Alligator mississippiensis: one gene and its partners. The protein of the gene in region 4 purifies or fractionates together with the protein of the main gene of each other region. This does not show direct contact. Links are inferred from orthologs where the notes say so. Each region holds a gene or a part of one and is shown on either strand. Other genes may lie near its edges.

What was found.
Region 1: the proteins of CCNA2 (region 4) and CKS1B purify together in Homo sapiens (affinity purification with western blotting; 7 studies listed by BioGRID and IntAct, counting the BioPlex papers as one, with this or other methods). This does not show direct contact. The link is inferred for Alligator mississippiensis from reciprocal best matches to the Homo sapiens genes CCNA2 and CKS1B.
Region 2: the proteins of CCNA2 (region 4) and ANAPC4 purify together in Homo sapiens (affinity purification with western blotting; 3 studies listed by BioGRID). This does not show direct contact. The link is inferred for Alligator mississippiensis from reciprocal best matches to the Homo sapiens genes CCNA2 and ANAPC4.
Region 3: the proteins of CCNA2 (region 4) and PKMYT1 purify together in Homo sapiens (affinity purification with mass spectrometry; 3 studies listed by BioGRID and IntAct, counting the BioPlex papers as one, with this or other methods). This does not show direct contact. The link is inferred for Alligator mississippiensis from reciprocal best matches to the Homo sapiens genes CCNA2 and PKMYT1.

What each region holds. Positions count from the first base shown.
Region 1 is NC_081838.1:12,771,008-12,777,737, forward strand, and holds CKS1B (cyclin-dependent kinases regulatory subunit 1), read right to left. Parts: upstream 2,090-6,730; 5' UTR 1,883-2,089; coding exon 1,824-1,882; intron 1,460-1,823; coding exon 1,332-1,459; intron 1,156-1,331; coding exon 1,103-1,155; 3' UTR 508-1,102; downstream 1-507. Other genes in the region: FLAD1 (FAD synthase), read right to left, coding at 1-43.
Region 2 is NC_081825.1:39,477,499-39,484,775, forward strand, and holds the start of ANAPC4 (anaphase-promoting complex subunit 4), read left to right. Parts: upstream 1-4,277; 5' UTR 4,278-4,313; coding exon 4,314-4,421; intron 4,422-7,258; coding exon 7,259-7,277. Other genes in the region: rRNA N6-adenosine-methyltransferase ZCCHC4, read left to right, coding at 323-446. UniProt on the Homo sapiens protein: Component of the anaphase promoting complex/cyclosome (APC/C), a cell cycle-regulated E3 ubiquitin ligase that controls progression through mitosis and the G1 phase of the cell cycle.
Region 3 is NC_081830.1:725,396-732,297, reverse strand, and holds the start of PKMYT1 (membrane-associated tyrosine- and threonine-specific cdc2-inhibitory kinase), read right to left. Parts: upstream 3,016-6,902; 5' UTR 2,911-3,015; intron 2,876-2,910; exon of another isoform or gene 2,642-2,875; 5' UTR 2,632-2,641; coding exon 2,263-2,631; intron 2,157-2,262; coding exon 1,663-2,156; intron 1,470-1,662; coding exon 1,363-1,469; intron 1,019-1,362; coding exon 846-1,018; intron 762-845; coding exon 538-761; intron 11-537; coding exon 1-10. Other genes in the region: GREP1 (glycine-rich extracellular protein 1), read right to left, coding at 5,240-5,265, 5,820-5,912, 6,004-6,084, 6,499-6,561, 6,718-6,765. UniProt on the Homo sapiens protein: Acts as a negative regulator of entry into mitosis (G2 to M transition) by phosphorylation of the CDK1 kinase specifically when CDK1 is complexed to cyclins. Mediates phosphorylation of CDK1 predominantly on 'Thr-14'. Also involved in Golgi fragmentation.
Region 4 is NC_081825.1:114,577,768-114,585,496, forward strand, and holds the start of CCNA2 (cyclin-A2), read right to left. Parts: upstream 3,021-7,729; 5' UTR 2,926-3,020; coding exon 2,797-2,925; intron 2,713-2,796; coding exon 2,490-2,712; intron 416-2,489; coding exon 303-415; intron 1-302. UniProt on the Homo sapiens protein: Cyclin which controls both the G1/S and the G2/M transition phases of the cell cycle. Functions through the formation of specific serine/threonine protein kinase holoenzyme complexes with the cyclin-dependent protein kinases CDK1 or CDK2.

The DNA of each region.
Region 1 (6,730 bases), on a different chromosome or scaffold from region 4:
CGGCGTGCAGGAGGCCCCGGCCCACGCGCAGGCCCCAGCGCATGGACGCGGCCCCGAGCAGCCGCCGGCACCTAGCCGGGCGCGGGCGGGAGCCAGTTAGCGGGGTCACCTCGAGGGGGCAGCGAGGAGAGCACCAAGCGTCCGGGCCCCAAGAGCCGCCCTCCCCCGAGCCGAGAAAGATCCCAGCAGTCCGGTCCGGCCTTGCGCCCCGGACCTCCCCCGTCCCCGCCCCCGGCGTAGGCCGCCCCGCCCCCTCCCCTGCTATTGGCCAACGAAGATGCCACTCGAGGACGGGGAGGGCCTCGATTGGCCAAAGGCGCGCTCGGAGAACTGCGCTCCCGGAAGGCTGAACCAGCGAACTGGGAAATCACCCCCCCGCCCCGGAGGAATAGATCGGCCCGGCGTGGAGAGCGCCCCGGTACAGGGTTTCCGCAGGGTCCCGGCGCCTCCTACTCCACGCTGGACACGGGTGGGGGGCGTGCCCACGGAACCCACAGACGAGACTGCCACATCCAACCTGCTTTATTGGAGATGGGCTCCGGCCGGGGTGACCACAGATCCTGCGCTGGCACCACGGGGCAGGCAGGGACACTGCACTGGGCTGCTTGTCCTGTTCAGCTCCCAGCCTGGCTGGAGGTAGCACTACGCCCGCAGGGGGCAAGAGGCCGTATTTCCCCCCCCCCCAGCTCTCTGCACTGATGATAGGCAAGTGGTTGCACTCCTGGCTGAAGATAGGGTCCAGGGTGGCAGGGGTAGGGGTGGCAGTGCCATGTCTGTGCTGACAGCAGGCATGGTGCACCCCCAGCCTGAGTCAGAGCCCGGGGTAGCAGCGCAGAGCTGTGCCCCCCCACCGTCACCAGGTGTCCTCTACAGTTGCACCCCTCGGCAGGCAGGAATCGTAGGTGTCATGGAGCCAAGTCCTCCTCCACCAGCCCTGCTAGTCAGGCCAGTCAGGCTGGCACTTCCTCGGCTGCGGACACCAGCCTCAGACAGCGTTTCTGAGCAATGTCTCCAAACACTGAGGACAGGGAAGAGGAGCAGGGAAGGTGCTTTCCAGCAAGAGCCGTGGCAAAGGGAGAGGCAGCGCACTGGGGCAGAGGCATCACTTCTCCGGCTTCTTCGGCAGCGGGCGGCGGAACAGCAGGATATGCGGCTCTGCGGGGAGAAGCAGCATCAGGACCGCGCGGAAATGACTCGCAGACCACACGGGGCAGCCTCTTGCTGCCCAGCATCTGCCCACCTGCCCAGGGAGGAGACGCCTGAGCCCAGCCATGGGCAGAGCCAGGCGAATGGACATGGAGCACCTGGCCCAGCCCACCCCAGTGGCTCACCAGGCTCGTGGATCATGTAGTGCACCCAGCCCTGGCTCTGCTGCACACCCAGGTTGCGCCACTCTGACTCCGACATCAGGTGCGTCCGGGGCACCAGCTTCGCGATGTCCTTGGGCAGCATCACGTGCCTGCAACGGGAGCCACAGCGTCATCACGGCGTGCCCGCACCTGGCCCGGACCCCAAGAGAGGGGCCGAAGGCGTCATCACCGCGCACCAGAACTTTGCAGGGGTCGCAGACCACGGGAGGGGGGGAGCAGTTGGCGTCATCACTATGCGCCGGCACCGAGCAGGGATCAAAGACACCAGGAAAGGGAATGATGGCGCCATCACCACGCGCCGGCACCGAATAGGGGTGGGGGATAGAGCCCAGGAGAGGGGGTGGTGGTGTCACGGGGTCGGCGAGCCCAGGAAAGGGGGTGATGGCGTCATCCCCGCGCGCCGGCAACGGGCGCAGACCCCGGCGGGGGAAGGGGACGGCCGCCCACTCTCACCGGTACTCGAACTCCTCGTCGTCGTACTTATCCGAGTAGTAGATCTGCTTGTGCGCCATGCTGGCCTGCGGGTCCACCCCCTTCCCGACAGCCCTCGCGCGCCCGGCAGTTGCAGGCGGGCCCCGCCCCCAACCGCCGCTTTCAAACGCCGCCGCCCCGCGCGCCCATTGGCCCGGGCGGCGCGAGCAGAGCAAGCCCCGCTCCCCCGGGGCTCCTCGGGAGGTGATTGGTCCGGCTTCACTTCCTCGGTTCGCTCAGTGGCCAGCGCCGCGCACGGGGGGCGGGCACCCCTGCAAGGGCGCTCATTGGTCCAGGTGGCCGTGGCCCGTGGGGGCTCCCTCGTCACGTGACGGGGTCGTTGAGGCCGCGCTGCGGGAGTGGGGCCGGAAGTGGGTGGCGGGGCCCGGGCAAGTGGGTGCCGGAGCCGTGGGAGCGCAGCGGGCGCGAGGCCCCATGGTGCCCCGGTGAGTGCCGCCGCCCGGGCCCCGCGTCCTGCCGGGCCCCCCGAGATCCCCCCAGGCCCGTTCCTGCTGAGACCTCCTGGGGCTCAATCCTACCATGACCACCCCCCCGGGCCGGATCCTGCCGGGTTCCCCCGGGGTCTCCCTTCCCTCTCCGCGACCCCGGGCCGGCCCCGACCCTGTCCCCTGACCCCCTTACCGGCCGTATCCTGTCCATGCCCCCATCCTGCCCCCACATCACGTGTGGGCTCTTGGCCCCCTCCCCGCGGGCCCGTTTCTGCTCAGACCTGCTCCTCCGCCAGCCCCATCCGGGCCCCTCTGTCTCCCTCGGCCGCCCCCTCTCCCCCTGCGTGCGCTTGCTTGCCCTTGGACTCGCCCGGATGCCCCAATTTCCTGCCCCCCCACGACCGCCCCCCAGGCCTGCTCCCGGCATCCCTGGACAGACGGAGACACCAGGAGCTGGTGCACAGTGCTCAGGGCTGCCCATCCATGTCCAGTGCTGAGACGTCCCGGGTGGCGCAGGCGGGTGCCATGGGGCAGGCGGGAAGGGGAGGCAGGGCCAGCGCCTCCCAGCTGCTGGTGCCGCTGAGCCAGGTGTGGGGCCGTGAGCGGGCGCGAGGACAGCTCTGGCCCCGGGGGTCCCAAGTGGGAGTGTGTGCAGGAGGGACAAGGGTGGTCAAACAGTCCCATCCGAGTAATCGGTGATGCGAGGAGGCCGGGGACAGTGGGGGTGTCCTTCCCTCCCTCCCTGGCCGGGCTTCGTCCCGATCACGGCTTCCTCTGGCAGTTTCCCCAGCTCCTTTCCAGCGGGACAGGAAGCAGGACCGGGGTGGCCTGGGCTGCGCCTTCACCTCCCCCCCCCCCTCCCCCGGCTGGGAGCATTCCTGGTGCGACTCCATTTCCTGTTGTTTCCCAGCAGCCTCCTCCCCCAGCCCCAGGCGCTCTCCTGCCTGCTCTGGCAGGCGCCGCATCCGCTCCCTCCCGCTGTCCCCTTAGCACTGGGGCAGGTTGGGGGAGCAGCCCCCCCCCCCAGCTGGAGGGGGTCTGGGCAGTGCTGGGGGGGGCTTGCTCTCGCCCCAGTGCTGCAGGTTCTTGCACCTCCATGGGGGTGAGCGGTCCTACCAAATCACACCTAGGCCGTAGCTGCTCCCTGAGTTGTGTGGGACCCAGGTGTCTCCAGCCCGTGGCCCAGGAAGGACACATTTGTCCCTGAGTTGCTCGTGGTTCTGTCAGTGCGATGCTGGGGGCCAGGGTACCAGAGATCTCTGTCAGGCTGCGGCGTGAGCAAGCCTGTGGGGGGCTGTGACTAAAGGCTGCAGCAACATGGGGCATCTCTTGCCTGCATCAGTCAGCAGCTGAGTTGGCTGTTGTTGCCTCTGGGGCTTAAGGTACAGGAACCTGGAGCAGGAAATAATAAAGGTCTCTTCTCGTGCCTGTAGTAGACATGCTGGTCGTCACCTCCACGGGCAGGGAGCTGCCAGACCTGCATGGGAGGTGCTCGGTTCTGCTGGGCTGGCAGGGAGGCACTGAGCGTGACCCGGAGATGCACGGCTCCCACCTCCTATGCGTCGGGGAGCTGTGGTGCGCCTTGGGCATGTGCTACCCCTCCTGCGGGATGTAGCAGCCAGTCCATGTTCAGGCCCGGCTGTGGGTGTGGGGCCCCTTTCCCACGCAGCCCCTGCCCGTGGCCCTGCCTGGGAGCTTCCTGCCTCTTGTGGTTGTCTTCAGCCCAGTGCTGCATAACCAGCAGCTTCGGCACCAGCGCTTGTGGCAGGCACGCATGTCATGAGTCACCACGGTGCGGGCACCGTTGCTAGGGGCATTTAGCACCCAGCTGCTTGCTTTGTGGAGCCTCCTCTCGCATGTATTTTAAGAGTCTCCCTGGGGTGCGGTGGCAGGATGTGCAGGGAGGAAAGGCTCTGATAGTGCAGCACCAAGCTCGGGGTGCCTCAGCCCCTGCAGCGAGCTGCGTGGGGGTTCTGGGATTGCTCTGGGCAGCTTGAAGGGGCTCAGGAGGCTGCTGTTAGCCTGGGGAGCTGCATGCAGCCAAGGAGGTAGTGCATAGCATAACCATGGCTGCTGTGGCCCAAGGCTGCCATGGAGAAGCTGCAGGCATCTGTGATGCATGGCTGCAGGGCGGGGGCTGCCTGCTGGCTGCCCAGCCCAAATCTGTCCTCTGCTTGCGACCGGGGTCATCAGGTCTCGTCGCAGGCTTGTGGGGAACAGATGCGTGAGCCCCAGCCACACTGCTTGGCCGACTCTGCCTGACCTGGCAGCCATTGCTGCAGTCTGGTGGTGCCATCCATGCCCAGCAGGGTCTGCAGTTGGCAGAGCAAGCGGGAACCACGCCCAGGCACCAAGGGGCCCGTGGGGAGGCAGGGGAGGTGGATCGCAGCACGTGCTAGGGTCCTGCGGGCTACCCCTCAAGCCCTTCTGCCCGCGCAGGCCCCACGCTGCCACAGCTCACTAATGGGCTGGGCTGCTGGGCTGAGCACAGCGAGCGCTGCCTTTCTCCTTGGATTTGTTATGCTCCTCAGGTGGCCTTGGGGGGCTGGGATTCCCAGGTGCTCTGAATGGTATGCACCTGGGGCTGCCATGCAGGGGATCATGTCAGGGCTGCTGCAGTGCCCATGCCACACAGGTGGTTTGTGATGCAACCACTGTGAGGAGCACAGCAGCTCCCACCTCCACCGGGCATCACGCTTAGCTCAGGGCCCTGGTGCCCAGCTGGAGCTGGCATGGGCACGAGCCTGTCTGTGTTTTGGGGTGTCTTCACGGTGGGGTGTGGGCACTGGTCTCGGTGGCAGCCCAGGAGATAGGGTGTTGTTCTGCTTGCCCAGCCTGTCATGATTACTGCCTGGGCAGGGAAAGGTCATGTTATCACAGCTCCTTTGCTGCCATGGGGCCTGGCCAGGCCCTGCCTGTGCAGGTCTGTGGGGCCAGGGCCAGACAGGCTCTTTATCTCTTGCCTCTGGGTGAATCACGTCACTCCAGCTTTGCAGGCCCCAGATAAGGGCACAGTCCTACGAGGAAGTAAATCATGTTTGTTTCCCGCTCTGGGCTGGCGTTGTTCTCCGTGCCAAGCCTGATGGCTCCGGAGAGGGGATGGGAGCAGGGCGGGGGGGCTGCAAGGAGCTGGGCCCCTTCCTCTTGCTTTGTTCTTTGGGCAGGAGCTGTCTCCGCCCTTGTTCCACACAGCTGTGGCTGTCCCCTGCGTGGCCTCCCTCCCCTGGGTCCAGCCAGCCCCCGGCTCCAGCTGGCAAGCTCCTTGCTGCTGGAGCTGCCCTGGCCCTGAGCAGAGTTAGGACCTCGAATGCTGCTTTGGCAACAGAGGGGTGGCAAGTGTCCATGGGGCTGTGGGGGCTCCCAAGCTCACAACTCCAGGTGCTGCCCTGAATCCCACTCACGGAGCAGGGTCTTGGGGTTCAGCCACCACTGCTCCTGCCTTCCCTGGGGAGGCACCGGAGGATGGGCGATGGTGGGCCCTGGGAGGTCCTGGTCCCCACAGTCCAGGAGGTCACCGGGGACTGAAAGCTCATCTCTTGAGCTTGGCTTCTGAGCTGGGCACGTGCCCTGAGGAACCAGGAAGGAGTCCCCAGGCCATCGGGGCTGGAGCACCAGACAGGGGAGGCAGGGCTGCTGCTACCCTGGTGACTCCCAGCAATGGGGCCAGGCTCACAGGACGGCGTTCAAGGCACACTGGAGATCCCGAGACTTATCCCATGTGCAACCTGCCCCGGGCCTCATGCATCACAGCCTCCTGCCCACACAGGATCTGAATGAGGTCCCTGCTCCCCCTGTGTCGCAGAGGACAGCCATGTCACCCGAGGCCAGGCAGGGCAGGCCTGGCCAGGCAGCAGGAGCAATGCCTGCGGAAGCAGGTCAGGCAGGGCCTTCTCCAGGCGAGCAGAAGGGCAGAGGGGATGTGCCAGGCCTGCCAGGCCCCTTGGACAGGGCGGCGCTGGCTAATTCCCTGTTTGTCACCGAATGCAGGTGGGACGCCAGGAGGACAGGGGCTGTTGGTACCTGTAGCCTGTGTGGGGCCCAGCCCAGCAGCTGAGATGGAGTACGTGGTAAGGACGGCCAGGCTGGGCTGCGGTGGAGGGTGCCTGGCTTTGGTGACGGGTTGCCTGCCTTCTCTCACTCCTCTCCTTTCTCTCTGGTGAGGCGAGTGGGTCTGCAACCAGCCGGGCTCCTTTCCACGTCCCCGCCGGTCCCTCCTCTCCTCTCCTCTCCGCCGGATCCGAGCCTCTGCCTGCTTCTTTGGGGCTGTTGTGTGGTTGGCGGTGCCCCAGCACCCTGGTTCAGGGGGCGCACAAGGTCTCTGCAGTGCTGTGAACAGCTCTGGGGCATGACTTGGCCACTGTGCTCCTCATCCTGTACTGTGTCACTTGGGGCTGAGCATTGCTGCTCCGGCACCTCCCCAGGACATGACTTGTGCTGTGG
Region 2 (7,277 bases), about 75 Mb from region 4:
GCTACTTGAAGAATTTTCCCCTGCCTACCACTAATATGCACTTCTAATAGAGCCTCTGTTAAAGCTGCATATTGTACTCTGGGGCAAGCTGTATGCAAAATATGGTAAATGTCACTAATGGAGTAAAAGTAGATTAACTTATGAATTACGAAACTAATTTAAATATCGCATGTACTTAATCTTTTTTGTTTTTCTTTTTCATTTAGCTTTTTTGTGACCACACTTTTGAATGGTAGCTTCAGTTAATTGTGTTTCTGTGTGCATTTACCCTATTGTACAATTTACTATACTCTGACAATGTATTTGTGATTTGATTTTGCAGAGCTGAAGGAAAGCAAAGGCAAATGAAAAACAAGAAGCTAAAAATGGGTACCATTAAAAAACCATCTGTGAAGCAGAGGAAAATGAGAGTCTTGAAAGGAAAAATAAAAAACAAGAAAGAGTGAATCACTCTTTCTTCTTGGCATCTAGTTACTCAAGATTTTTGCAGCCAGTCTTTGATTTCATTTACAGCAAATGTTAGTATGATCTTTCAGAATAAAATCTAGTTGAATTGGAAATTATTTCCCCTTATATAATTACCTTTAGAGTTTCAATGGCACTGGGACAAAAGCTTGTTACTCTGTTCATGAACTATTTCAAATGAGAGAGAAAATAACTTATATATGTCAGCCCATACTGCGCAAAACTTATAAGTGGAAATAATATTATAAAATACCACTAAAATAAAGGGACAGAAGTTATAGTAGTTTTGGTTAGTTTGGTATTGCCCACTGTTTAGGGGGAAAAAAGACCAATATATTTGTAATGCTGTCTGTTACAAACATCGTTCCACTTCACCCCCACATGCTCACTCTTAAAACCCACCATCCAGCATGGTCATGTAGATAACAAATGTTATATAATCCTTTTGCTAGTTATCCACTTGTTTGCTGGTTTTGTCTCTGCAGGCCTGGAAACGAGTATGTTGGAAGTTCCAGATAAATTAGGACTTAAGTATATGTTTATATCCATAGTGGCTACATTTAGAAAGATAATAGGAACACAGGACATTCCTGCCCAGATTTTATAATACTTTATTATAAGCTGAACCAAATGTCTTTATTTATTTTCATTTATGAAGATAATTTTAATAACTAAACTTTAACTTGTAATCTTTTCACTGGCTAGTGGTGATGGAGGCTGAGCTTCAAGGCCAGCTTGCCCAAATTATTCTTGATGTTGTCCTAAATGTGTGAATGTCATGTAAAAACAAAATGAAAACAAACTAAATAATAAATAAAATGCAATGACAAGAATGTATTTTATAACTATAGGTTTTTTAATTCAAACCAAACATGTTACAGTACTTAGCTACAACAAACTCCTACCTGCCAAGCCACAGTACACAGCCTTTCAGAGAAATACTTAATTTTTTTAAGGAATGTACCAAGAGCAGTTCCTCTACTAATTTTCAGACCTAGGTCATCTTGCTGTTTCTTGGATACTGTGATTGAAACATATATGAAATGAATAGAGAAAAAATAGTCATAACTAAGATGACTCTTTAAGACTCAGTGAATTTCATGTCAACTGTGTTCTATTTATAATTTTAAAAGATGATGTAGTGCAATTGCTGCAGATTCATTGGAGGGGTGTTTTTCTCTTTTGTATATCTTCACCAGCATTAAAGGTATTTTACTATTATTGGTATTAATAATAATTCAGTTAGTCATGAATAAGTGAAACATCCATTTTATTACTTCAGACCTGTATTGGCTCTTTAGGACTGAAACGTTAGGAAGACCTGGTAGATAACTGTGTACTCTATTTTATGTTTCCATGTCATATTTTCTTAGTTTCGGGTGCCCAGCCACCTTCCCCCAGTACCACCAGGTACACCCCCTCCCATCCCCCTCCACACCACACATCCCTGCCCCTCCAACCCCCACTACCCGTAGACTTACCTGCATCCAGCTGCCATCACTGTGCCGACCACCCTGTCTGGCTCTATGCTGGCCACACATGGCTCTATGCTGTGTGCATGTGTCTCCAGTCATTCCAAGCAGGTCCTTGTAGGCTGGATGGCTGCTAGCCTGCAAGGGGAAAAGCCTAGGTTTCTCTAAAAAGGAAAATCCAGGTTTTTCCACAGCACATGGAAAACCTGGATCTCTAGTAAACAAATGCTACAAGGGCAAGCTGGGAAATGCAGTTCTACCAGCACTGATGTTGAAAAAGGACTAGCAGAGCACAATCCCAGACATTTGTTCATATTTGAAAAAAACGCCTGAGCGGAGATCGAAGGATCCAAAAAGAAGACGTCCAGGAAAACCCGAATATGTGGACTCTCCCACCCCCTGCCACTGTATTGTCTACACCCCCACTGTCTCCCCTGTTGCCTGACCCCTACAAGTCCTGCTACCATTGCTTTTCATGTTGCAGTGGTGGGGATGAATTTAAGATGATCCTCCAATAATTATATTTTATACAGGGAAAATTATAACCCATTTATACGTTTTCTGTGTATAGAACCTAAATTGGGGGGGAGGGGGAGTCACCTCAAATTCAATGTGAACTTGAATTTGGGTAAATGCCACATGCCTTCATCCTATTCTCTTCCCAGTAGTGAAAAGAGGTTCCAACTTTTTGCTGCTTTAGACAAAGGTAAATACATACTCAAAAAACAGGAATTGCACCAGAAGGGACTGTAGACCACGCTGAGGACAATTTGTCATCCTAATCAATACATGCAACAGCATAGTTTGGTGTCTGCACTGAGCCAGTGCCGCATGTGATCTTACTACTACAAAATGCTGGAAGATCAAAAAATACAATATCAATTTTTGTAAAACATTTTACACAAGACTTGAACCATCCAAAGTTGTGCATGTGTCTGTGTCTGAATGTGCACATATGTCTCTCAGATAAGGTTCTTTGGGTTAATACATCTTTTATTAGATGAACTCAATCAGAAAAATTGTTCTTTGCAAGCTTTTGGGCACAAACACCCTTCTTTGGGTATAGAGAGAGTCTGCTGGTGTTTTGTGTCCAGGGTAGAACAGAAGCCAATATGCAAAATTGAGGTCAGTGAAAATGCAAACGTGTTAGTGAGGATCCAAGGTGATAGGAGACGATAGGTGTCGGACAGGTAGGTGGTGGGGAGGGGAAGAGGGAAATGTTGACTGCTGCTAGTAAAATGTAGAGAGGTTATGAGATGGCAGGTAGGTTATAATGTGCCATCAATCCAATGTCTGTATTTAGTCCAGGGTTCAATCCAACCAGGAATAGCACACACCAACTGCAGAGGCTTCCTCAGCCTGATGAAGGGTTTTTAAACCCAAAAGTTTGCTAAAAAATTTGTCCCAACTATTTAAGTTGGTCTAATAAAAGATACACCCAAAGAACCTTGTCTGCCTATATTTAGTCCATTATTTTTTCTATCCAGTCATTCATGAAGTTCACTGGCTCCTCTGCCAAAGGTGCTTTGTAAATTCCCTTTGAGGACTAGAAGTGAGAGATTGGAGAGGGAGCAGGTGTCTTGCGAGATGTGCGCACCCACAGGTCCTTGGGTATTTTTGTCTTTGACAGATTTCCGCTGTGTTTCATTCTGGAGCTCAGTTGTTTGGTTGCTCCTGCATATTGTCTGTCCGGCCTTCAGCGCACTGGGTGAGGTGTTACATTTCTGGAGGCGTAGGCGTTAAGTTTTGCAACTGTCTGTGTATAAGTGTATGGGGACTTAGTGGGAGAGGCGATCTCTTTTATTAGACCAACTAGATTTTTGCAAAAAAGCCCCACCAAAATCTTTCATTGCAAACTTTTGGGCACAAACACCCTTCTTCAGGCATAGGAGAAAAGACTGTACAAGTTCTCCTGGGGAGAAACGAAAGTTGGTATTCCATAGGAGAGTTGAAGGTGTGCAACAGGGTTTGGTTGCAGCGCTGTCGGGCTCAGGACAGGGCAGACGAGGTTCTTGGGGTGAATGTGATATCTTTTATTAGACCAGCTTCAAGAGTTAGGGAAAAATTTTGTTTAGCAAGCGTCCGGGTTTTGCTCAGATGAACTGCTGCTGTTTGCAACGGTTCATTTTATGTGCAGGGCCCTGGAGCGAGCAGCCAGGTCCCGCAGCCGGCCGGGGCCCGGGAGCGGCTTTCCCAGGCGGCTCCCGCGTCGCCGAGCAGGCAGAGCCCGGAGCCAGCTCCGCCCGCTGGAAGCGGAGCCCCGGGGACACGCGCTCGGGGCGGGGCCGGGAAGCACCGCCTCTGGGGGCGGGGGCGGTGCGGGGCGCGGGGCGGAGCGGAGCGGAGCGGAGGGGAGCAGGCGGGCAGGCCGCCATCATGCCCGCCTTCCGTCAGGTGGGCGAGAAGCAGCTGCCGCAGGAGGTGGCGCTCATGGCCTGGTCCCCCAAGCGGGACCTCATCGCGCTCGCCAACCGCGCCGGGGAGGTAAGCACGGCCACAAGCCCCCTCCCTGCCCTGGCGCCTGGTCCTCACCCGGCTCCAGCCCAGCACAGCCTCAGCTCGCGGGCTGCGGCCTCTGTCGCCACGGGCCGGGCCGGGCCGTGCTCTGCTCAGCCGCGGACTGCAGCCGGGGAGGGGCGAGGAGGCTGCGCGTGAGGGAAGCGGCTGCAGGGGGAAGTGGCGGGTGCAGGGCGGGCAGCTCCGACCCTGGGCCACAGCAGCCGCCTGCCCCGCCACTACCCGTGTTAAATGTTGGGGAGGGGGTCATCTTCGTCTGCAGGCAGTACAGCGCGTGGGGCCACGGTGTCGGCTGACAGGAGAGCGTCTCTTCAGGTTCACCTTCCTGGACCTGCTAGGGACTAGTGCTGCCCAGCAGGGTGTCCAACTTGGCCTGTGATTTCACCCATGTGTCAAAGTTCATCTCCACGTGAAGTTTTGAGACAAGAAATACAAAAAACTTGAGCTCTTGGTTCCAAAATGATACCTTTCATTAGACCAACTGGGCGCTGAAAGCAAACAGTGCTGTGGCGGCACTGGAGCCAGCGGTCCCCAGGCTCTGACGGGTTGCGCACCACCAATTTAAAACGATACAATCTTAAGTACCACCGGCAAGTTTTTGTCATATAAAGGAATTATAATAAACCTGTTAATGCGTACCACTGACACATTGTCTGCGTACTGCTGGTGGTACCCGTACCACAGATTGGGAACCATTGTTTTAACTTAATTTTCTAGATGATCATAGAAAAATAGAGGGACCTCAGTAGACCATGCAGTTCAACCTGTTGCTCAGGGCAGGATAGTGCCAGGCAAATGTTTGTCAGCCTGAAGTGAAAAGGCCTCCACTGCAGAGATCTAGCCTCTCTGTGATTGTTCCAATGCCTACCCATTTTCATGGTTATAAAGTTTTCCCTTGAATTCAACTTACATTTTCTTGGTTTCAGTTTAAGCTCATTGCTTCCTGTCCTGTGATATATAGACACCGGGGAGTAATTGTCATTCCCTAATTGACTTACATACAGCTCTCCTTTTAATACAACCCATTACTGCAGGGAGAGGGGGTTGCAGCAGTAACACTGTTGACTCGAACTTCTGATCCAGGCTGAAGTACTTCAGGAAAGGCCGTGACTCCCTGTGTTGTATTTGTGCACTTGACTCTCCCAACCTACATTTAGTTCTTTGTACTTGTTCTCACTGAATTTGTTCCAGTTTATTTCAGGACTTTTGTTCCAACTGAGCAAGGCTATTTTGAATCTTAATTCTGTCCTTCAAAGTGCTTAAGTCCCACCCAGCTTGGTGGCATCTGTAACTGTACAAATGTACATTCAGTCCTGCCCTCTGTGTCATTAATAAAGAGACTGAACAGTACTGGACCCAGGACAGACCCTTGGGAAACACCACTTGATTCCTTTTTCAATTTTGGTTTAGAACCACTGATTATTGTTCTTCATAGATTTCATAGACATTAGGGCTGGAAGGGACCTTGGGAGATCATCAAGTCCAGTCCTGTGTCCCGGGGCAGGAAGTCAGCTCGGGTCAAAAAAACCCAGCAAGATAAATGTCCAAATGTCTCTTAAAGGAGTCCAGAGTAGGTGCTTGCACCACCTCTAGTGGCAGCCTGCTCCAGGCCTTGCGGGTCTCGGGCAGTAAAGAAGTTCTTCCTTATGTCCAGCCTGAAGTGGTCTTGGAGGAGTTTGTGACGGTTTGACCTTGTCATCCCTTGGGGCACTCTGGTGAACAGGCATTCCCCCAGATCTTGAGCCTGCGCTTTTCCAGGTTGAAGAGTCCCATGGTTCACAGCCTCTCTTCATAAGGCCTGTTCTCTTGCCCTCTAATCATGTGTGTGGCTCTCCTCCGGACTCTCTAGCTTTTCCACATCCTTTTAATACTGTGGAGCCCAGAATTGGATGCAATATTCCAGCAAGTACTTCTTAATCATGATTATCTAACCAGTTATACATCCATCTTGTATTTAGTTTACGTATGAGCTTGTTGTGGATGATGGTGTCCAGCACCTTATTAACACTGAGCTTTATCAAACCCTCTGCTGCCCCCACCCCCCTTTCCCCTGTCTACAGGTCCCATCACTTTATTAAGGAATTATTTTCTGTGAACAGATCTATGGTGGCTATTACTTATCTTGTTATCCCCCAGGTAATTACAAATTAATTATTTGAAGATAACCTCCAGTATCATAAAATTTAGATTGACTGGTCTGTAGTTCCCAGAATTTCTTTCACTTTTTTAAAAGATAGGCACCATATTTTTCCGTTTTTGGGGGGGCTCACTTGATTGTCATGAATTCTGAAAGACGACAGTTACTTCACCCATTTCCTTAAATGCTTTAGGAGGGATGTCATCAGGCCTAATAGCTTATCTAACTTGTCATTTTAGCTGCTTCTTCCCCATCTCCTTTCATCTCCACTTACCCTTGCTCCTCCACTTTCTAAGCTAATCATGTAATCATCTGACAGTTGACCTCTGTGATTATATTCTTGGGCATCCAAGGATAGGATGTTCAACTGTAATGTTTCCATACTACAGTTTCTATCTAAGTTGGAATGGAAGCTCTCATTTTGATTACAGTCTTCAAGACTACATACACAGCACAGTTTACTTTCATTGCTTCATAGTAAAGAGTATGCTCTCAAACTATGGAAAATAACTGGACTTTTGATAGGAACACTCAGGATACAGTGTGCCTACTGGATACAGGATTTGTTTTAGCCCAATAGAAAGTGATTCTTTAGTTGCTGGATTACAAGATTCAGTTAAAGGAAAAATGTGCTTTCTTTGACTAAATTTAAGCTTTTTTTTTTCAGGTTTTACTTCACCGACTAG
Region 3 (6,902 bases), on a different chromosome or scaffold from region 4:
ACTGGGGGCCCTAGAGGAAGGGGAGAAGCAGAGAGGTTTCAGAGACGGGGGGGAGGACCCAGGTGTCCGGGCTCCCAGCTCTACCCCATCGCACCCCACTCCCCTCCCAGAGTTGGGACAGAACCCAGGCATCCAGGCTCTCAGCCCCTCCAGGTCTACCCCAGCAGGTGCCACTCCTCCCCCCCCACCCCACCAAGAACCCAGGTGCCTGGGCTTCCAGCCCCTGGTGCTCCAATCTGCCAGCCCCCTCTCGCATGCCAGAGAACTCAGGCATCCAGTCCCACTGCTCTACCCCGCTAGATGCTGCTCCTCTCCCAAAGAACCCAGGTGTCCGGGCTTCCATCCCCCCCCCCAGTTCCCCCACAAGCCCCAACTCCCTTCCCCAGTTGCCTCCACTCAACTCTCAAAGACTCCAGGCACGTGCGCTCCCAGCTCCCTCCCACTCTCTTCCCAGAGAACCCAGGCGCCCAGGCTCCCAGGCAGAGTGAAAGGGGCTGGGGGCAGGTAGGGACCCAGGCATGGCCCCCCACCACTCACCTGTCCTGGAGGGAGCTATCCCTGGAGCTCCCCGACAACTGGAACACCTCCAGGGCCAGGCTGCCCGTCCCACCTTCATCGTCCTCGTCCTCCTCCCAGTCGCTGGAGAAGCTGCCGTAGGCAGGGAGCAGCGGGGAGCGGGGCGGGGTGGTCGGGGGGCCCTGGCGCCAGTGGGCGAGACTGCACAGTGCCAGGCAGACCCCCCACAGCAAGCTCATCAGCCCCTGTGGGTGGGCAGGGAGAAGGGGGGAGATTAAGTGGGGCAGGAGGCAAAGAGCACAGGAGGCAAGAAGCAGGGGGGCACTGACCTGGAGCAGCACAGCGCCCCACTCCAGCCCAGCTTCAGCCAGCAGAGCGAGGCGGCGCCAGCGGCCTGTGCAGCGCATGAGGTCAGACTCCAGAAGGGTCTCCGCTGAAGGGCGGAGCCGGGGGTCAGGCTCCAGCATGGCAGCCAACAGGGCCTGCAGCTCCAGTGACAGGCCTGGGTGGGGGTGGGGGGGAAGAGGAGATGATAAGGAAGACCTCTGCGGTGTCCCGGCCCCAGGCACCCTTGGACCAGGGGAGGACCCAGGCATCCGGGCTCCCAGCACCCCCTGCTTCTCCCCACCAGGCCACACTACCCACCTGGACCTCCAACTCACCATACTCCCCTCTGCCCCCCACAAACACAGGCATCCCCAGCTCCCAGACTTACCCACTCCAACCCTCCCCAGACCCCAGCCCTTACCCAGAGAACCCCAGGATCCTGGCTTCCAGCTCCCCTTGCTCCCCGTCCCCCCGGAGCTGGGGTGGAGCCCCGGCATCCAGGCCCTTCCCCAGACGTACCAGCTGTGAACTCAGGGGGCAAGTATCCCTGCCGCAGCTGCTGCCAGGCCTCACCCCCTGTGGGCAGCTCCAGGTTGCAGGCGACCTCCAGGATGGTCATGCCCAGGCTGGCGGTAGGGGGCAAGAGTCACGAGTGGGGGAGGCAAGATGGGCAACTGACCCCTCCCACCCCAGGCAACTGCCCCGCCCAGGTGGCTGCAGCCCACAACACCCAATGGGAGCGTGCCTGGTCAGTCAGAAGAGGGTGGGGTGGGAGCGGGGGCAGGGGGAAGTCGGGCACCGGGACGCCGGGGCCCTAACCTGAAGACGTCGGCGGCAGGGCTGTAATCCCCACACAGCAGCTCGGGCGCCATGTAGCGAGGGTCGCCCTCCTGCGCTTCGCCCGGCTCGGCCTGGCCCAGCTCGAGGGCCAGGCCAAAGTCGCCCAGCTTGCACACGCCGCGGGCCGTGAGGAAGACGTTGGCCGGCTTGACGTCCAAGTGGACCAGGCCACAGACACGCACGTGCTGCAGCGCCCGCAGCAGGTCCCAGAGCCAGGCGCGGACGCGGCGCTCAGGCGGGGGCTGCCCGCGGGCCTCGCAGTGCTGCAGCAGGCTGCCCGGGCACAGCTCCGTCTGCAGGTAGAGCTGGCCCCGCTCCTCCCAGGCCCGCGCCAGGCCCAGGCAGTTGGGGTGGCGCCCCACGCGCCCGTGCCGCCGCGCCTCCGCCAGTTTGCGGTGCCGGTCGGCCGCCCCCCGGAAGGGCTCCACCGACCGCTTCACCGCGTACAAGCGCCCGTCCGCTCGGCTCCGCACCTGGGGGAAAGCGAGGGGCAGCCTGGGCACCCGGACCCCTGCGCTCCTGCCCCGGCCAGCCCACACGTCCCGCCACGCCCCAGCGCTCCTCCCCCCGCCCCCCTACCTTGTAGACCTCGCCAAAGGAGCCGCGGCCTAGGTGGCCCAGCACCTGGAAGCACTGGCGCAAGAAAGACTCCCGCTTGGCGGGGTCGTACAGCAGGTCCGCGGGGGGCGCGGCCTGCCCGGGGGCCCCCCGGCACCACACGAGGCGGGCCCGCGGCTGGCTCCAGGGCTGGGGCTGGCAGCCGGGGAAGACGCGGCTCACGGTCGGGGGCACTTTGTGGCGCGGCCGGGACGGGAGGGAGTAGCCCGACGCCCGCTGGGGCCTCTTGGCTGAGAAGCTGCCCTCGGCCTCGCGGAAGAAGGCCGGCACGGGCAGGGGCGTGCGGCTCAGCCGGGGCTCGGGGCCCGCCTCGTCCGGGGGCACCGGCATGGCGTCAGCGCTGGCCGGGGCAAGAAAGAGGAGACATGGTTAGCAACATGGTTAGCGCCCCGCGCCCGCACCTGCTCCCCTCCGCACGAGCAGGCGCATGGCCTACTCCGGGCGCCCACGTGACTGGGGAGCCTGGGCCCCTGCACTAGGGGTGAGGGGCAGGCTGGGGCTGCACTCCTTGGCATGAGCAGGAGGGCGCTGGCGGGAGAGGAAGAGAGGCAGCCCCGTGGCATGAGGGGCTGGGGGGGCAGGGGCGGGGCGGGGCGGGGCGGGGCTCACCTCCAGGGCCCGGATGTGGCGGGTCCCCCGCGCGGGAGGGCAGCACGCCCCCCTCCCCCTCACCCGTTCCCGCGCGCGGGCTCCCCCGTCCTTTCCCGCCTTGCCTCCAACTGCCGCCCCGCCCGCGCCCCCTCAGCCAATCCGAGCCCAGGCACCGCCCACATCGCCCCACCTGGCTGCCTCCCCCGGCACCGCCCCCCGACTGCGCGCCTCAGGATTAGCCAATCAGGGGGCGCCTCGTGCCCCGCCCCGCTCGCCCGGGCGGCTGTCAATCAGAGCCAACTCCCCGCTTTAAAGGGATGGAAGGGGGCCGCGAGGGTTCCCAGCATCCTCTGGGGCAACCAAAGCGTGGCCAAACCAAAGCGCCCCCCCCCCCGCCTCGGAAATGCCCCTCTACCCTGCCAAATCCCCTCAGACATGCCCCCCAAATCCCCTCAGACACATCCCTTTACCCCCAAATCCCCTCAGAAATGCCGCCCAATGAAGTCAGCCCCCCAGGGATGCCCCCTTCACCCCGCCAAAACGAGGGGTGAGGCCCCCGAAGGCAGCCCTTCTACTCCCTAGGGAGGGGCCAGGGCCCCACAACCCTTGCTTTTGGGGTGCCCCCTTCACCCTTTATATAAGGGGCAGCCGTGAGTTACCCCCAGCCCCTCCACCGCCCCCCCCAAGGGTGCCCTGAACTGAGTTCACCCCCGATGCATCACCCCCAGAGGGGGGCACGAGGGACACTGCCCATCGCCGAGAGGTGCAGACAGCGCTGGACGTACAGGGCCTGGCGCGGCCCCAATCTCGGTCTCAGGGTAATTCAGTGGGGTCCAGATGCGAGGGGCTGCCCATCTTAGCCCGGGGGGGCGGGGCGGGGTCTGGGCAGTGGGAGGTGGACCGCGAAGTGTGAAGGAGAGCCTCCATAGTGTATGATGTGCACATGTGCGCGCGCACACACACACACACACACACACACACACACACAGAACCCAGGTGTCTGGAAACAACCCGCCCTTCCCACCCACCCACACACACACACAACCCTGTTGTTGGATGGACACACATGCACACAGGTGTCCAGGACACCCCCCCCCCAATATGCACAACCCAAGCGTGTAGAACACCAAACACGCTTGCCTCAGTCTCCTCCAGCAGGGGGCAGCAGTGCTCAACCATCCCCCCCCCCCCAACCCAGCAGTCTGGGCACATGACACACACACAACACCCAAGTGTCAGACACACAGACCCTAGGTGTCCAAGGAACACACACACACACACACACACACAGAATGCAAGTGTCTAGGATATACATACAGGTGTCTGGGACGAACACATACACACACACAACCTAGTTGCTAGACACACACACAAATATGCATACACAACCAAGGTGTGGACGCACATACACCCCATGTCTGGGACACGCACAAATGCACACACACACACATACATCCCAGGTGTCTCAGATATACACACATACAGAACCCAATTGTTGGACACCCCCCCCCTCCGATGTCCGGGACACACACATACACAGATACCAGGTGTCTTCCACCCCCACCCCCCCCATAACTCAAGTGCACACAAATACACATTCTCACACATACAACCTAGGTATCCAGGGGGGACACGCATATTCACACACAGCACCCAGGTGTCCGGCACCCCCCCCCCCAGGCATCTGACACACACACACGCACAACCCAGGTGTCTGACACAAACACCCCCCCTGCAAGAGTCTGATATATGCACGCACAACCCAGGTGTCTGATGCACACCCCCCCCCCGAGTGTCTGATGCGCACCCCACCATGTGTCTAATATGTACACACACATTCCCCCCTCTCAGGTGTCTGACGTCTGCACCCCCCCAGCGGTCTGATGCGCACACACATTCTCACCCACACAGCCTAGGTGTCCAGGACATACACACAGAACCCAGGTGTCACACACACATTTTCACACACAACTCAGATGCCCAGGACACCCCCCTACCCCGCACATCTGGAAACAAATCTTTCAAGACACAAGCTCTTTGAGGGGCTTTTTATTGCCGACACACTCACCTCCTGCTGTCAGCAGAGAGGGGGCAGATACAGGTACCCGCAACACACTTCCTACTCCCTTGTGGACACCCCTTTTTCCCCAGAGGGCGGAGGGGGGGGTGACAAGCCTAGGATGACAAACCCCCCAAAATTGCAGGTTTTTAACATGTAAGAATCCATTAAAAAATCCCAACGAGACGATAAGTTATAGCGGGATAATTTCTTTCCCTCGTAGCACCACACGTAGCACCAGATGTGGCAAGGTGGGTCCCCCTGCGGCAAACAACTGGCACCCAGGACTCAACACTTCCCAGCTGGGCAGCGGGCTGAGCGGAGAGAGAGCAGGGATCAGCGCTGGATAGGAGGTAAGGTTACATACACACACACACACACACGCACAGAGGATGTAGGTATCCAGAACACACAGAAACACACACACAACCTAGGTATCTAGGACACACAAAAATATGCACAGTCACACACAGGAGCTGGGACACGCACACAGGACCCAGGCATCCAAGATATACATGCACATACACACACGCAAGACCTAGGTGTCCAGGACACATACACATACCCTTAGGACCCAGGCATCTGGAACACACCCTCCCTGGTATTCAGGATAAATACGTGTATGTATGCTTACACACACACACACATACACACACACACTCAAAACCCAGGCATCTGGGATATGTGGATCCAAAGTGGACCCAGGTATCTGGGAAACACCTACACGTGCACACACACGCGCACGCACACACACAGGCATCTGGGACACACAGAGGCCAGTGTGATAGAGTCTAGGGGGGTCCATACAGCACCCAGCACCCCCCAATCTTAGTCTGGGGTCCGACAGGATGGGGGCCCTGCTCCTCACCTCGGTAGCCATTGCCCAGGAAGCCGTTTAGGCCATACTTGAACTCCTTCCCACCTATGAGAGGGAAAGCTCCCGTCACCCCCCCGTCTTGCCCTGGGGAAGTGGGGAGGGGAGAATCGTCCGTCTCCTGTGGCAGTAGCGGGCCCTAGCCACACCCACCAAGGGACACAGCACCCCCGCCTACCATATGCCCCTGGGGCGAGGGCAGCAGGCACCGGGCCATACCCACCAAGGGCCGGCCCCACGGAGATGGGTCCGTAGGCACCTGAAAGGGCAAGGGAGAGGGTTGCTGTGGGGCAGAAGCACAGGATGGGGGGACATTTTATGGGGCAAAAGCAAAGGTTGAGGGCCAGTAGCACAGGCTGGAGGGCAGTGTGGGGCAGAAGCATAGGTGGGGGGGCATTTTATGGGGCACAAGCACAGGCTGGAGGGCAGTGTGAAGCAGAAGCACAGGCTGGAAGGCACTATGGGGCAGGAGGCCAGGTCGATCTGGCTGCTCCAGGGGTGGGCGCAGCCCCACCCTCCGCCACCGGGGGGCTTCATAGCTCTGCCCAGCCCTGTTGGCACTTTGCCCACTCTGGTTTCTCTTTCCTCCATCTCTATGGTTTCCCCATTGCCAAGTCCTCCTGGCCCTGCTCCCATCTCCCAGCACCCTGGGGGCACCCAGGGCAGGTCTTGCCTGGAGCCATTCCATTGGCCTGGAGATCTCCCCCATTCAGGTATCCCAGTCCGTTGCCATTGGCTGCAGTGGGGAGAGAGAAGGGATCAGTGGGGATATGGGACCCAGGCATCCCGGGGCAGGGTGGGGGGAATCAGGAGCCACTGATGTTCAAGTGCCTGCCCATCCCACAGGGGGCAGGAGACCCAGGCATCCGGGTGGCCCCTCCCCAGCCCTTACCCTCCAACCCGGCAGGCTGTGCCCTGAACGTTGCCTGTCCTGAACCACCTGATGGGGACACAAGGGGGAGGGGTGGGGGGCAGCGGATAGAACCCAAGTGTCCGGGCTCCCCCGCTCCCTGGGGGCTCCACCCACTGGGCATGGAACCTGGGCATCTGGGCGGAGATGGGGACCCAGGTGGCCAA
Region 4 (7,729 bases):
TCCACTAACATACAAATTAAATACTTGTACTATACGTAAAGTAGAATCCAAATACTGGTGCCCAAGGTCCTTCAGAGTCCATTCTCAAGCCCTTTCTTTTATGTTCAGTGCATATTCCAGCCAGGTTTTTTTATTCTAGAAGGGCTCAACAGGAAGCTCACTTTTCTTCCCCTTTCCCCTCAGTCTGTTCTCCAATTATAAGCTCCTACTTGAGCTGCCACCCCTCCAGGGACTAGACCCACAAGCCTCACCATCCTGAGCTAAGCTGCCTTAAAAGTTTAAACAAAATCATGGCATCTTACCTCCATTTCCCTAATGTATTTATGGATATCATCAATGTAGTCTGGCACATGATTAACATTTACTCTTTCTTCCACATCTTGGATTATAGATATATCCATAATACTTGGAGAATCTAAGTGCAAGACAGTAGTCACATTAAACCTACAGAAGTTCTCAGACCGCATGGTACAGTGACTGCATTGAGCAGAACGATTATGTTGGTGACCCAGGACCTAGGGTTTTTTTTGTTTTTGGCATTTTGCCTTTTTTGAGCCACCTAGGCTGCACTAAGAACAGAGAAATGTTGCAAAGGGCTTTTTCAACTATGGGCTTTGTTGCAAAGGGCTTTTTCATCTATGGGGTGGGAGAAAGAAAAATTGGTGGAAGACGCTTCATACTAGCATAGTAAGCTATCTTCATAGGAGTATGGACCTGTACTCTGAAGTGGAGCCTGCAAGTCAGGGGACAGCCTGATGTTAGCATGTATTTTAGCTGAAGCCACAAAATTAGGCAACTGAGAAGTCTTCTGCCAGAATTTTTTAATTGGGCAGACTGTTGGACTTCTCTTGCCTTATGTTATTTTAGTGTCTACCTGAGCTACCCTAGTTTTCTAGTCAACTTGCCAGAACCATTTAGTACTTGCACAAATGGAAGTTTCCAGTGTGTATTCTAGTTTTTGCAACTTGCACTAGGTCTTTAAAGCCTTTCAGAGTTTGAAGCTCTGAGCTGCTACAGCCAGACCCTGACAAGGCTGAGAGTTCAAGAGGGCCAGCAGCTCATAAGTAACAGTAGCAAGAAGAGTGAGGAAATTCATGGGAAAGCAGATGGGTAAGGCACAGGGAAGGGATATCTGGCTGTTTCAGGGATTCAAAGCTTGTAAGTTACAGGCTAAAGGAACTGCTGGACTCAGGGAATCCCCAAAGCTGGTCTGAGTCGCATGCAGATGCACAAGCAACATTTTCATAAGTTAGCTTTTCATAAGACACCAATGAAGAACAATGACTTTAGGGACACTTGGAATATCAGTTAAAAAGAGGATATTTAGGTTGTAGAATAGTGCTCACCCATGGAGGACAGCCAAAGCAGACAATTTGCTGCAGGATCTGGGACAGAAGTTCGAAATCCTGCTCTATCCTAAACTGATTAAATCTAATACAGCATCTATCCAGATCTATCTTAGACCAAGTCCCCCCCAGTTTGAAACCGGTTTGCACATGCTAAACTTCTATTACAGCTTTACACCGTTTTCTGATCATTTGTACCAGTTTATGTGCAGTGTCTGTACCTCGCCTTATACGCCAAATAAGATTTTTAGGGGGCAGGGGAAAGGAAGCAGGGAAAAGAGAAAGTGAAAGCAAGCTTTTGTGAACCCAAGTTCATGTCATCAAATGCTGTCGTAGGGTGCTTCAGAGGGATGGTCCTGCTTGGAGCAAAGGACTGGACCAAAGGACGTGGTGAAGCTCCTTCTAGCCCTAGTTCCCTGTAGGCACCTACACAAGTGTAGAGGCTGCTCCGATGTGCTGGAACCGACTCAATTAATAGAGTCTGCTGGAATACAGCAACAGCTGTGCTCTAGCAGCCTCCTGCATCTTGTACATCAGTGTCCCTGCACTTAAAAGTGCTTTAAATTCAAGTGCTCCTGCTGCCATTTTTAAGTGCAGGGACACCGATACATGAAAGTTTGTGGTGCTTTAGTTAGAGCAGCTCTCAGAGCCACAAAGTGCAGCTCCCCCAACACATGTAGAAGAGCCCCAAGATCCTAATCTTTGTCAAGGATGGTTTGAGGGGGTTTAGCCATGGTAGCCTGAAGTCAGGGCCGACCTGCACCTGCACAGCCTGAGAGCGAGAACAGGAGTGCAAGCAGGAGGATGTGAGCAAGCCAGAGCACAAGCTTTTGTGAACCCGAGTTTGCTTCCCCAGATGCCGTCCTAGGACCGTGGAGAGAGGGACAGTCCTGCCCAAAGCAGGGGGCTACAAGTCTGGGCTGGAGCAAATGCAGTTCCTGCCCCCTCCCGTCCTGGGTGGGCACCCCCTAATCTGACCTGCGCCTGGGGGGGGGGGGGCGATAGGGGGCGCCAGCCAGAGCCAGATTTCCACAAGTCAGGTCCCCTTCCCTCGGGGGCAGAACAGCTCCCCCCGCCCCCAGCACCTGCTTGGGGGGGGGAGAGGAGGAGGTGCCGCCCGGGCCGGCCCCGCCCCGCACTCACCGCAGCTGAGGTCCATGGCGGTGTCGAGCGGCACCAGCGGCTTCCTGTCGGTGGGGAGCCCCGCGACGGGCAGTGCGGGCCCGGCGCGCTTGGCGGCCCCCACCCGGCCGCGCCGCCCCCCGTCCGGCTCGTCCACGTGCACGGCGAAGGGCTGCGGCGCGCGGACCGCCCGGGCCCCGCCATCGCCCTTGCGCGACGGGCCCGCCGCCGCCGCCGCGACCGCCTGCGGGGGGCAACGCACGTTAGCGCCGGCGGGCCGTCACCACCGCCCCCCCGCGGCCCCCCCGCCCCGTGGCGCCCCCCTTGCCTGCGGGCGCGGGCGGTTCTCGCGCAGCACCCCCAGCACCGTGCGGCTGCGGGGCACGGCGGGCGGCAGCGCCTTGCCCACGGGGGGCACGTTCTCCTGCTCCTGCTCCGGGTCCAGCTCGTCCAACATCCTGCCGCAGGTGGGGGGCGCAAGGGGCGCCGTGCGGCCTCGTCCGGAGCGTACCCGGCCGCCTCCCGCTCCGCCGCCGCGTTCAAGGAGCCCGCGACTCTTGAATCCGCCAATGAGGGACGGGGGGCGGGGCTGGCCGGGCGCCGGCCGTGACTGGGGGCGACGGAAGCCGCCGAGGATCAAGCGCGCCCTAGGAGTGAGCGGGTCCTGCTAGAGCGGCGCCGTAGCCCCACCCATGGCGGCTGCGTAGTGCCGGGGCTCTGCCCCCAGGCACCTGAGTCACTAGCCGCGCGAGGCCTCGGCGTTTGAGTCCCGGCTCTGGAGCGCGCAGCGGTGCGGGCTTGCTCTTTGCTTGCCCCGGCCCTGCGAGGCTCCCTCTTAGGGCCGGAGACGCGGTGTTGCCGGTGTAGGAGAATTACTGCATTTGTACCATAACTTCACCCCTTCTACCACTACCCCGTAGGATAATGCTTGAGGCGGCTAATTAATGTAGCATATGCAAAACCAGGAACTTTTAACTGGCTTCTAGCGGTTTGGTGTTTGTTTTTTGGGGGGGGGGAGGTTCATGGTCCAGGTCTAATTAGCCAGATCAGTTCTGAAGCCTTTAAATCATTCAAAAACTGTATGTCCGTGTCTTTTTTTGGGGGGGAGACAATGTTTCATGTTCCAAGCCAAATCAATTCCAAATCTGAGTCAGTCCAGAATCAGAAATCGCCCCCCTACGGGCAAACATCCTCCACCCGCACCTGGGGCTTCAGATGTTTCCAAAACCTTTGGAGGGCATCCTACTTGCCAGCCCAAGCCCAGAGGCTTGGGGTTCAGATGCCCCCAAGTTTCACTTGCTGTCAGCCATAAGGCCCCCCCAGCAAGCAAGGGAGGAGACTCCTATTTCCATAAACTGGGCTTAAAGCCACTGCAACCACGCCAGAAGGGCAGTTCTCTTGTGTAGCAGTTCAGGAAAATGCCTTCATGGACACAGATGCATGGTATTTTCCCTGCCAGGTTAAGCCACTACACTTGATCTAAGCCTTCAAGAGGCCTCTAGGGTTGCTGTCAGCACTTGCTATGACATCTCAAAATAGAGATGCTTCAACTTTGACACAATTCTCACTCACTGGTGACATACTGTGAGCAATATAAAGTAAATAAGACTTACCTGCATATTCATTTGCACATTTTTTCAGTGAATTATAGTTTCTCAATAAATGCAATAATTCTGAGCTTCCAATATGATAATTTCATATTTAAGACCTGGCAATGCTGCTGCAACACCACTTTAGCAGACTGGCCCAGGGCTAGCCGCATGTCACTGATGCATGTGGCCACTCATCCACTAGCACTTTTTTACACCAGGGACCCAGAACTAACCTGAGGCACCTGTTGCTTCCCTCCCCCCTCCAGTGACACATGGCCTTGTTACAAGGGCACAGAGCTTTCAGGCCTCGATTCACTGTAACCCTTCACCCCAGGGAGGGCTACGCCAACATCCTTTCCCAGGTTTCTCCATACTAAGAAATCTCAGACCTTGACTGATAAGGTGAATAGTGTATTTTAGGTCATAAATCATGGGGAATAGGATCTTTAAAAAAGAAACAACCATGTTTGTAAAGATCAGGACACTTTGGGCATTATTGTTTTGAAATCCATAGGGATATTGGAGTATGCTAGAGAGACTATGCGAGAGAAACATTAGATGGTAGGTTAGAGAACCATTAAAAACATTTAATGTTAACCTAGTGCTTGTGTGAAAGGTACAGAGCTAATTGTTTGCAAAGAGAAGTCTTTTTTTAAGGAAATTTTTCACGTCCCAAGTCAAATTACCCAGATCAGATCCAAATTCATTTGAATCGTGCAAGAACCATATGTAGCCCTGCTACCAGCAAGTATCCTCCACCTCATCCGGGGGCTTCAGATGCTTCCAAATCCATTGGCAGCCATCTTACGTGCAGGCCCAAGTCTGGAGCCCTGAGCAATCATACAGCTCTTTCATACAGCAACCAACTTTTAGATGCTAATGACCTTTGTTTGTTGCTGATTAGGGCTGGATCTGGAAAGACTTAGAGCCCAAACTATAGACAAGGGTTTAGAGTCACAAAATGACTTGGATTCTGTCACATCTAGCACTGCTTCTTCCAGTGGGTAGTACAGTTGATTCTTAACCTTTTTAGACTCAAGGCACCCCTCAGAAAAGGCCAGCTCTTAGTATTCACTCACTTATTTTTACTTTGGAAAAACAATTGGACAATCCTTCTGTTGCAGAGGAATCAGAAAGACTGCAACAGATCAGAATTCTTCTAGCACCGTGGACTCCTGTTTGAAATCTCTGAGTTTACGCTGTGAATCGTGTTTGCAGACCTAACAGTGCTAACACCCTTGAAATATCTGAGTACTTAGGAAACATTTTAGCTGCCTCCAGGGCTAGGTGATAGTTGAGCAGGTTTTGACGATCTAAACTTTGGATGTGGGCACTTAATGTTCTTCTGTGGATCTAGCTCAAAACTTCCACTAACTTCAAAATGTCAAGTCCTTTCCCTCCTTTGATGTTTTACCATTCATTCCCAGTGACAGCAACCAGAGTTAAAGCATTACAGATTTGATCCTGGAAGGTGCTGATGACTTTGGCCCACCCAACAAAAGGCTATTCACCCCTAGTGAACAAAGCATTTAGACACACACGTACATTTCACTGCCTTCAAATGAAAACACATACTCAAGTGCTTTGCTCAAAACAGATGAACTTTAAGTATGTGCATTAAGGCTACAATTCAGCAAAGCATGTAACTATTTTTCAAGATCAGAGTTTGGGTGTTTCACACCTCGAAGGATCATGTTCTTCTGCTTTGTCTGAAGACTGAAGGGATATACCATTATAGGCAACAGGCTATTGCCAATTCCATTATTACCCGCTCCACCAACTGGCTAGCTTCTTTTGCGGGGAGGGGAGTGCACAATAATTTTAGTTCGTATTTCTGTGCCTCTTTATTTAATCATCACCATAATTCACTGCAAGAAAAAAGGATCTATTTTCTGCTAGATCAAAAGCCAACTACTCTACAGACACACGTAAGCTGGGCTTCCTTGTCCAACACAATTTAGATTATATAAAGATCAAACACAACGCATTTTTTCTGTGAAGATGAAGAAATAACAGCATAGTTCAGAGCCCTGCAAATTATACTGTCAAACCTAAGTGTTAAGATGAATCATACTGGATGGTAGATCTTACGGGAAAATACAAATGCAGCGAGCTGCAGTGTTGGAAACTGTAGATCAGGTCAGCCCATCCTTTCAGCAGCTGGGGCCTGAACACTGTGGGCTGCACTAGAGGCCACATCAACAATGCTGCTACTGCATAGCGCTCCAATACCTCGTCCCCATGCATCCTCCTCCACTGCTGCACTGGGTGCATGCCCCCTCCCCCACACCACTGCAGGATCAGCACTCTTGACAGCAGTGAGCCCAAAGCACTGATGGATAGCTTCTGATGCCTTCCAGCTGAGCAGCCCAGCTTAATTGTCATTAAAGACTCGATATCAACTACCAGGGTTTTCCCTTGAGATCTCTTGTTTTGTGAGAACATAACTGGACTCTTCCATCTTGGGGGTGAGTTTCAATGCAGGCACAACTATTCTGTTTGTAGAAGTCTTGCAAGATAATCAGTTAATCATTTTCTATTTGGCTCTTGAACTATTCCTTTTCCCAGAATGTAGAGCACAAGGATAAACAGTGAACAAAACAAAAGTAAAAGATCCTAGCATTTTGGCATCTGAAAAATACTAAGGTTGAATTCATCTTTTTTAGAACTGACTGGGTTTTACTAAGTATATTACAGAAGAGTAAAGGGTGTAGGTTGTAGCCGTGTTGGTCGAAGGACATAGGCAGACAAGGTTCCTTGGGTGAATCTGATATCTTTTATTAGACCAACACAAATAGTTGGAGAATAGTTATTAAGCAAGCTTTCGGGTTCAAAAACCCTTCGTCAGGCTAAGGAAGCTTCAGCAGTTGGTGTGTGCTCTTTCTGGATGGAATGAAAAGTAAAGAAGCCAGGGGCTGGGCTGGTATGCATACAAGACGGGTAGTCAGTGAAAATGTAGACTGAGGAGTCAATGGGTGAGAGACAGGCGGGGGGCGGGAAGAGAAGGGGGATGAATAGTGGAGAGATACCTGGGGAGTCAGATGTCAGGCAGGTTATAATGTGTCATAAATCCAATGTCTGTATTTAGTCCGTGATTTTTAGTATCCAGGAAGATACTTTTCATTCCATCCAGGAAGAGCACACACCAGCTCCTGAAACTTCCTTAGCCTGAAGAAGGGTTTTTGAACCTGAAAGCTTGCTTAATAACTATTCTCCAACTATTTGGGTTGGTCTAATAAAAGATATCAGATTCACCCAAGGAACCTTGTCTACAGAAGAGTAAAGACATTTTAAACACTATACAACACCCCAAATGCCTTGGCAGGGATATTTCCCCTTCAAATTTATTCTAGTTATCAGAAAATGTCACCAACTAAACAACTGGAAATAGTTTATCTGTTTGTTTTTTTAAATCCCAAAATCAATTCAAAATTAAAGAACTGTGAAACATGTTTTTGTTTTCTCATCATTTGGTACAACTGCCAGGACACTATATAATCGTTTACTGCTTTGTTACACTCAATCAACTGAACTCCATTCCTACCAAGCTTTGTGCTTGTACTAATAGGATTTATGAACACAAGCTGGGAACAGCCAGGGCCTTGCTTTTGTTTCAGTGGGCATTTCATAAAAACAGCAGAGAAGATTGTAAAGAAAAATGTGACAAAC